2 linked regions of the Canis lupus familiaris genome follow. The protein of the gene in region 1 interacts with the protein of each later gene in a pairwise test. Links are inferred from orthologs where the notes say so. Each region holds a gene or a part of one and is shown in the gene's direction. Other genes may lie near its edges. The genes, in order: FNDC11 and GPBP1.

Evidence for each region.
Region 2: the proteins of FNDC11 (region 1) and GPBP1 interact in binary tests that used the Homo sapiens proteins (3 or more experiments, as listed by UniProt). The link is inferred for Canis lupus familiaris from reciprocal best matches to the Homo sapiens genes FNDC11 and GPBP1.

The regions. Positions count from the first base shown.
Region 1 is NC_049245.1:47,988,953-47,993,240, forward strand, and holds FNDC11 (fibronectin type III domain-containing protein 11), read left to right. Parts: upstream 1-1,483; 5' UTR 1,484-1,952; coding exon 1,953-2,087; intron 2,088-2,566; coding exon 2,567-3,571; 3' UTR 3,572-3,616; downstream 3,617-4,288.
Region 2 is NC_049223.1:43,424,059-43,428,583, forward strand, and holds the start of GPBP1 (vasculin), read left to right. Parts: upstream 1-1,687; 5' UTR 1,688-1,794; intron 1,795-1,888; exon of another isoform or gene 1,889-2,087; intron 2,088-3,339; 5' UTR 3,340-4,343; exon of another isoform or gene 4,344-4,357; intron 4,358-4,525. UniProt on the Homo sapiens protein: Functions as a GC-rich promoter-specific transactivating transcription factor.

The DNA.
Region 1 (4,288 bases):
CACACAGCGCGCAGGGCCCGGGTGAGGGCTCCGAGCAGCTCTGCTGGGAGGAGGGGGTCGCTCTCTGGAGGACACGCTGTGGGGTCTGTGCCCCTGGGGTCCCACCACCCCCAGGCCCCCACCCTCACGGCTCTCCAGCCTAAGGGGAGCCCGGTACTGCCCCCCTGCCAGGGCCCCGAAGGTGGGGGGGGGGGCTGCGGGATGGGCCAGTCCTGCGTCTCCTCCCATGCACAACCAGGTGTCATCAAAGATGTTTGCGCTCCGGGAACTGGGCCAGCATCATTCTCTTCCAACTGCCTGAGAATCTACAATTCTCTCAAAACCAAGAATTTAAGTTTTTATAGTTAAGTAAAAAAAAGGGGGGGTGGGGCCGAGGAGAGGGCAGAGGCCCAAGACCTGGCCCAGGAGGGCAGGGGTCTCCGGCTCTCTGGGGTGGGCTGCAGCCTGGGGTGGCTTCCTCCTCGGGCTCCCCGCTTTCCAGCGCCGCCTCCCCCCAGCCCTCACACAGCACCCCCTTTCCAAACCCAAGGGTGAGCATCTACTGAGCGGGGCAGAAATGGCATCCACGTGCCCCCCAGGGCTGACCTCTGCAGCCTCTGTGCCAGGCCTGGACTGCCCCGCCACCGCTCGCCGGGGGTCACCCCGAGGGGCCAGTGCAGCTGGGGGGAGTCCCTGCATGCAGAACAGGCTGGCAGGGAGCTCGGAGACAGGTGCCCTATCCTGGGGGGCCGCCAGGGTACCCGGGGGGCACGCCCACCCCCATCCTCCCCAAGGAGGCCAATAGCGCCTGGGTGTCCGAGAGGGGCCTCTGCGGGGAGGCCCCAGGCCGCTGACACGGCTCAGGGAAGGGGCTCCCTGGCGGCCCCATGTGTCCAGCCGGATGGGGAGTACCCGCCCAGGCAGTTGTCACCACCCGCCGGCGCCGCCCAGCTCTCCCCTCTCACCGGGTGCCGGGACAGGGCCGGGCAGGCGGGCGGCCAGCCTCAGTTTACTCCTCCCCGCGGGAGCCTACTTGGGCTTGGCTTGCGGGACACCTCGGCCGGTCGCCCAGTCGGGGCCGCCCCCTCCCCACACCCCGGCGGCGCCCGCCCCGCCCCCGCCCCCGCCCCGCCCCCGCCCCGTGGGCGGAGCGCACAGAGGCCGCGGTCGCCATGGCAACCCGCAGGACGCGGCGCGGAGCAGGTCCCGGGCGGCCCTCGCTCCCGGACGCAGGGCAAGTGGGCGCGGGCGGGGCGGCGGGGCGACCGGGGAGGGCGCAGTGGGACCCAGGGCGGCCCAGCGGCGGCCACCCCCGGCCCGGCCCGGCCTCGCAGACCCCCTCTCTGGTGCCCAGGGCCTGCTCTGGCTTCTCCCCGGGAAGGTGAAGGGCTGGCCTCTGGGGAGGGCCCAGACTGGGGTCGGCACCGCCCTGCCGCTCGGGGCGCTCTCAGCAAGTCACTCAACCTGCCAACTCTTTTTTTTTTTTTTTTTAAGATTTTATTCATTCATTCATGAGACACACACACACAGAGGCAGAGACAGGCCGATCGGAGGGAGAAGCAGGCCCCATGCAGGGAGCCCCATGTGGGACTTGACCCCGGGGCTCTAGGATCAGGCCCTGGGCCGGAGGCAGGCGCTAAACCGCTGACCCCCGGGCTCCTGCCAACTTTCTTTGTGATTAACCGAAGCCTTGGGTGGCTGCGGCTGGCCCAGAACCTGGGGCTGTCTCCCCGTCTGAGGGGCGGCTGGGGCCCAGGGCAGCCGTCAGACTGCTGGCCCTTCAAGGAGCGCAGCCTGCAGGGGGGGTCCTGGCGCCCCTGCGCCTGCCCCAGCCAGCTCCCTCCCACCGCCCCCTAGAGCTGGGAGCCGGGGCAGGGGTGGCACGGGAGGAGGGTCAGGCCCTGGAGTTGACGGCTGGCCTCAGATCCTGAACTGAGGAGCTACAAGGCATTTTAGCTTCAGGTACCCCGATTATGAGATGGGGCACCAGGATCTTCCCGCCCCGAGGGGCGTCGAGGCACAGAGTGGGGCTCAGTAACCAGGAGCTGAGGCCAGCGGCCACCCCGCCGCCTCCACTGGCTCCAGGCACCAGCTGGCCTTGTGTTTGGGTGAGCCCTGGCCCCCTGCCCCGGCCTGCAGTGACAGGGAGGGGTAGCAGGCCCACAGGGTGGTGGTGGCCCCCACAGGGAGTCTGCTGCTGCCCGGACAGGATCACACCGAATCCTCTCAACAGTCCCCAGGGCGCACCCTGAGGCCTCAGCCAGGCCCCACAGCTGCTCGGTGCTGCCCCAGAGCCCATTGGCCTCGCCCCTCCCTGTGTCATCACAATGACTCCTCAGCGAGTGGTTGCCCCCCAGCGGGCGGTGTTACCCAGATCTGCAGCCTGGCCACCTGCCTCCGGCAGCGCCTTCCCAGAGAGACGTGCTCCCCCATAAGCTGCTCCTGCGGGGCGGGCCCCGGGGCCCAGGATGGAGGGCAGCGGGCCCGGAGCCGCCCCCTCCGCACACAAACACTGACCCGAGTGAGCCCCCGCGGGTGGCGGAGGCCGCGGGCTGTTTCCGCTCACAGCCCCCGCCCCCCCCCCCAGACAATGAACTTGCAGGTGACAGGCCTGGGCCTGGACAAGATGAAGCTGGACAGTCCTCAGTCCTTCCTGGACCAGGAGGAGGCGGAGGAGGCGGAGGAGCAGCAGCTGCTGGCGCCGGCAGCTTGGCGGACCTACATGGAGCGCCGCGCGGCGCTGCGCGAGTTCCTGACGGCGGAGCTGAGCCCGCAGCTGCTCAAGCGCCACCACGCCCGCATGGAGCTGCTCAGGAAGTGTTCCTACTACATCGAGATCCTGCCCAAGCACCTGGCCCTGGGTGACCAGAACCCCCTGGTGCTGCCCAGCACCATGTTCCAGCTCATCGACCCCTGGAAGTTCCAGCGCATGAAGAAGGTGGGCACCGCCCAGACCAAGATCCAGCTCCTGCTGCTCGGGGACCTGCTGGAGCAGCTGGACCGCGGCCGCGCCGAGCTCGACGCTCTGCTGGAGTCGCCTGACCCGCGGCCCTTTGTGGCCGGCTGGGGCCTGGTGGAGCAGCGGCTGGCCGACCTGTCGGCGGTCGTGGACAGCTTCCTGGCCCTGATGGTGCCCGGGCGTCTGCACATCAAGCACCGCCTGGTGTCTGACGTCGGCGCCACCAAGATCCCGCACATCAGGCTCATGCTGAGCACCAAGATGCCCGTCGTGTTCGATCGAAAGGAGTCGGTGGCCCACCAGGACTGGGTCAGCCTGCGCTGGTTCGTCACCATCCAGCCAGCGGCACCAGAGCAGTTTGAGCTTCGCTTCAAGCTGCTGGACCCACGGACACAGCAGGAGTGCACGCAGTGCGGCATCATCCCCGTGGCCGCCTGCACCTTCGACATCCACAACCTGCTGCCCAACCGCTCCTACAAGTTCACCGTCAAGAGAGCAGAGAGCTACACACTGGTGTACGAGCCCTGGCGGGACAGCCTCACCCTGCACACCAGGCCGGGGCCCCCCGAAGGGCGCGCCCCCAGTCGGCTAGGCAAGCCGGGCCTGCCCCTGCCCACACTTTCTGAGAGATGATTTTCTAATATTTATCCACTAATAAAGACTATAAACTCACACACACACAAAGAAACAAACCTACTTACGTTTTAGAGGCAGCAGCAGCCACGCGAGTGTTTTCTTCAGACTCTGCCCCAGGCGCCCCGGGCTCCCGCCCTCTTTTCCCCGGTGCGGGCCCAGGCTGGACCTTCCAGGGTAGCCGGTCCCGGGAGAAAGAAACCGCAGTCCCGGCGACCTGCGGCCACGAGCAAGCATGAGGGATTCTCCAGGGGCCTCAGCCCCGTGGCCCAGCCCCTCCCGTCCTGCCCCAGGCCAGGGTTCCCCACGGGGACCTGTAGCTTCACGGGGACAGTCCGGGTTAAGTGAAGTCTTTCCCCAGAAGGAGCTAACGCTCATCCGCACGCCTGCCCCGGGGCGGTGAGGGCCGGGCAAGGCAGCCTGGCCCGGGCCTCCCCGAGACACAGGCCAGTGCAGCTGCCGCGTGGCGGCCCTCGGCGCCAGCTGCCACGCCCCGGGCGACCGGCCAGCCCCGCGCTGATGCCGCTACAGCCTGTCCTCGCCCTCCGGCTCGATCCCGCGACCTCGGGGTGCTCAGCCCGCTCGGCTCCGCGCACACGTCCTGCTGCCGCGGCTTGCCTGCGTCCAGGTCCAGGAGGACGGCCCTGTGTGGGGAGCTGTGGGGACCCGCCGTCCGCAGACCGCCCCTCCACTGCCGTGCCCGTCTCCGGGGTCGCA
Region 2 (4,525 bases), on another chromosome or scaffold:
AACAATTTCTTTTCTTTTCTTTCTTTTTATTTCTTGAATTGGCATCATGCTTAGAAATAGATGCTGAAGCAGGTCTTGTCCCAATACCTCAATTACTTCTACTGAAGTACTGTGGTGTGGAGGAAAGAATGTGCATGAAGACCCTAGCACATTCAAGATGGACCGCCAAGTTGGTGGCACTCGGCTTCCCTGTCGCGCAACCTTAACTACGTTACTTAACCTGAACCAGTTTCCTCATTTGCAAAACGCTACAAATAACGTCCACTTCCTAAGCTGGTGTATGGACGAAGTGCCTGGCACAGATGCGGCATCCAGCTTGTGAAAATGCTCTTTTCCTTTCTTTGCTCTCGGCGAGGTATTATTTGCCCCAAATAGCTCTCTCCAATGCGCCTGAACCAAAAGATTGAGAGGTGTAATTTTTGTTAAGTTTGCATTCAAACATCCTATCAGGGAGCGTTTAGAAGCAGTCCATTAAAATACAAACCCCATAACGCATATAAAAGGACCATAAAGGGAATCCCCGGGTGGCTCAGCGGTTCAGCGCCCGCCCTCGGCCCAGGGCGTGATCCTGGAGACCTAGGATCGAGTCCCACGTCGGGCTCCCTGCGTGGAGCCTGCTTCTCCCTCTGCCTGGGTCTCTGCCTCTCTCTCTCTCATAAATAAATAAGATCTTAAAAAAAAAAAAGAAAAGGACCATAAAGTTTCTGCGCACGAAGCCCTTGTGGGCTGGGGGAGTACGGAGAGCCAAGGACTTCTTGTTTACTGGATTTTCTCTCTTTGAGACACTCCCCCCCCCCCCCCCCAAGCACATGTGGTTACTTTTCTACCTCTTAGAAAACTAACTTCACAGGTTTCAAAGACAGCCTTGAGTTACAAAGCGAAAAAGCATCGCTATTTGAGAACCATGACTACCAGGAAATCCACTGAAAAACAAGCAAACAAAAAACCAAAACTGTGTGGGGTGCGCGGGCCAGGGACCCCGTGGAATAAGAATGCTCTCACCTCCTGCAGACTTAGCAGGAAGAAAAATGATCAGCACCATCACACCCAGCAGCCGTTTTTGGCTCAAAGGGAATCCGAGCTCAGCTCCCACCGAGTCGGTCTCCGCCCGGCAGCCCGGGCTCCCGTACGTGTCATTTACGCCCGACACACTCGTATTTGCATAACATGGTGGATCCCCTGCTTCAGGGCGCCAATTAGCCCGGCGCCCGCGCGGCCAGCGCTCCGCCCGCGCAGGGCAGCGCGCCGGCGAGCATGTGATCTGCCTTCCGCCCAGGCCCGAGCGCGGAGCCCGCGAGCCGAACGCGCCGCGGCTGCTGCGAGCGTCCAGGCAGGGATCCCTGCACGCCGCGGCACGCGCCACTCCGGCTCGCGCGGCTGCCGGCCTCCCGGCTCAGCCTGCCCCTCTCACCCTCCCGCAGGCCCCGCCATCCCAGGCTCCCCGCGGCTCCGGGCGGGGGAGGGGCGGAGGGGAGGGGGCTCCTGAGCGAGCGGCGGGGAATTCCCCCTTCCACCGAACGTTCCCGATTGTTCACAGTCCTCACGTCAGCAGCAGGGGGTAATCCCCGACTCCAGCTGCTCCTGACGTCACTGCGCGGAGCCACCGCCCCCCACGCGCCCCTGCCTCCGGGGCTTCCTCGACGCCCCGCCCCTAGACGTGGCCACGCCCTGTTCCCCTCCCCCCACCCCGCCGCCCGACGTAGAGGGCGGAGCTTTTCCGGCCGGGGCGTGAGCGGTTGCTTGGGCCAGAAGGTTCTCTGGTGGAGGCGCTCCTCCTGCTGCCCCGCCCCGTAGGTTCGTTCGCACCGCTTCTTCCACACCCTTTCTCCCTCCTCCTTTTCCTCGCCCCGCCTTTCCCCTCCCTTCTCCTCAACCCCTCTAGTTCCTTCCCCGCCTCGCCACCTTCCACGATCTCGCGAGACTTGACCCAGAACATTGCGGATCGGGTCGGCGCCATTTTGGGACTGAGACTGGTTGTGGGGGAGGGAAAAGCGGCAAAAGGGGATTATTCAAAGTACCGAAAACCTCCTCCCGGGATCGAGCGCAGCGGCACCCCCAGGCCAGGGGCACCTCTGGTGTGGCAGAAGGTAACGCCGTCCCCGGTGCTCCGCGCTGGAGTCTGGGGGACGAAGGGGGGCGCCCCTGTCGGCGTCGGGGTTTGAGGGGGTCGGGAGCGGCGTTGGCGGCGCGAGGTGTGAGGCTGCCCGCGGACGCGGCGTGGGGGGTGGCGGAGAGCAGGGAGAGAGACGGCCGGCCGGCGCCGCGGCGCCCCTCCGGGTACCGACTCGGCCCCGGCGGAGTGGGGGCGGCGGCCGTGGGGAGGGGGTGGGCGGCTTAGGCTTGGCGGCTGGGGGCTGCTCGGCGGAGGCTGAGAGCGGGCCCGCCGCCCCCGGCCGGGTCTTCTCCCCCCGGCCTTCCGCACGCGCCCGCCTCCTGTGGCACTCCTGCTCCTCTCCGCGGGCCGGGGGAGTCGAGGCCGAGTTGTGGCCTTCGGCGTTTCCTCAGTAGCGCGCCCGCGCGCTCCGCCTCGCCGGGTCCGCGGCCGTGGCGGTGCCCCGGACTCGCCGCTGCCAGGTCCCCGGAGTCCTTTGGGGCCTGACGGGACCGCTTGTGTTTGCGGGGAGCGCCGCTCCTCCTGTGATTCCCGAGGACGGCGTGGCCCCTTCCGCCCCCTCGGTGCCGGGGGAAACCTGTTTTCTTAATTCGAGGAAATCGGGGACCGACACCCTGACCCCACAGCCGCCCTCGGGAGCCGGGCAAGTCTCCCCCTCAGGCGAACTGAAGCGATGTTCCTGCCCCACGTCTCACCTCCTTACTTTCTACCCTCAGTCGGGGAAAGGTCTCTCTCCTTTCAGGCATTCTGCCTCAGAGAGAGCGTCCTCTCTTCGTAGCCCCTTTTCTCTTAAGTTGCATTTGATGCTCCTGGCCCCACACCTGCCTGTTCCATTTCTCTGGGCCCAGAGAATTGAAAATAGAGGTGGTCTTTTATAAGATTCTGGGCCGGTTTCATGGTCTTAAATCTTACTCGAAAACTATAGGAAGGTTTATATAATCTCCTTGTATTATATCCGCACCCCCTTCCCAGTTGAGCTCACTTCTGGTCTCGGTAATAGCCTCTCCTACCTTTCCCTCTCCGTCTAAAGTCTTTTTCATACAGCAGACTGTTTTGGGGGCGATTGCTTGGGCAAAGCTGCTTTCAGACCCCAGTATAATTTCGTAGAAGTGAATTTCTCTCCAGAAGTTGACTCTTGGAGGTGGGGGTTAATTTTTAGCTCAAAATTAAAATTCATTGTGTAATTTAAGGTTTGTTTGTTTTTTTTGTGTGTGTGACTTTTACAGGTGATCGAATTACTCATATATGAAGATCATCTTCTAGGTTTTGTGTAAAAGGCCCCGGATATTTGAAGTGGCCATTTTGGGATTACAATGTTTTTGGATAATTTTGCCCCAGAAGTTTATTAAAAGTGGCAAGAACCATCTCTGAAGTCAATTTGTAGTAGTGAACAATTCTACAAGCTACTTAAAGAGACCCAGGCATTTCTTCAGTATTTTGGTTCAAACGGATTATATAACTGGTTAAATTATTTCAGCTGGTTTTTTTTGTTTGTTTTGTTTTTTGTTTTTTGTTTTTTGTTTTTTTCCCCTTCCCCCCCCCAACCCCCACCCCTCTCCTGTAGTTGTTCTTCAGCCCAAAACTGTAAGATATGTTTGATTTGTGTACTGAGTAGTTTCAGCAGTTTCAAATTACTGTTTAAATATTGCTGAAGTTTCATGGCAGTTTATTTTTACCTTTATTAAAAGTTTTAGGAAATTTTGACCTCAGCCCTTTTCATGTCACAATGGGACAACTTTTCTAAATGAAGACATTGAAAGAATCCAGAGTTTTTTTCATTTTATCTTTTATTTACGTGGAAATTTAAGATGTTGCAGTTTTCCAGCAGCGTGGTAGTATTGAGATAGCTGTATGTCTCTCTATATGCTGATATTTAGGAATGCTCTTCAGATGTGAAATTTTCTTTTTGTTTTTGCTTTTTGGCTCATAAATTGGATATTTCATCTGGAGTGGATAAATACAACAGTGACAAGTACATGGAATAATAAAGAAGACTTTAAAATCTTAAATCCAAGGAACTTGGCTAATTCTGGAGATAGCCATATGAAAACTTTAAAACAGAAGTATGGGTAGCTGACTTGAAGTAACTCTATGTCAAATAGTCATAGGTTAAGTATCTTCAAAGAACTTGGATATTATTTCAGAGGATACAAAATAAAAAAACAAACTGGAAAACATAAAGATTACAGAGAAAAACCCAACACCTTCCTGTGCAGTCCTTTTGGAATTTGTAAGTATTACATGGTGAGCAAACAAATACTCATTTGTAAACTGTAATGAGAGTCAAGTTTATCCTATGTTGGAAGCCTTTCAGTTTCTTGGAATAATACTGCTTGGCTTCAGTTTCCTGAACGGTGTGAAGACTACCATTAAGTGGATTGAAATGCCGAAAGAGTTAAGAATATTTCAGAT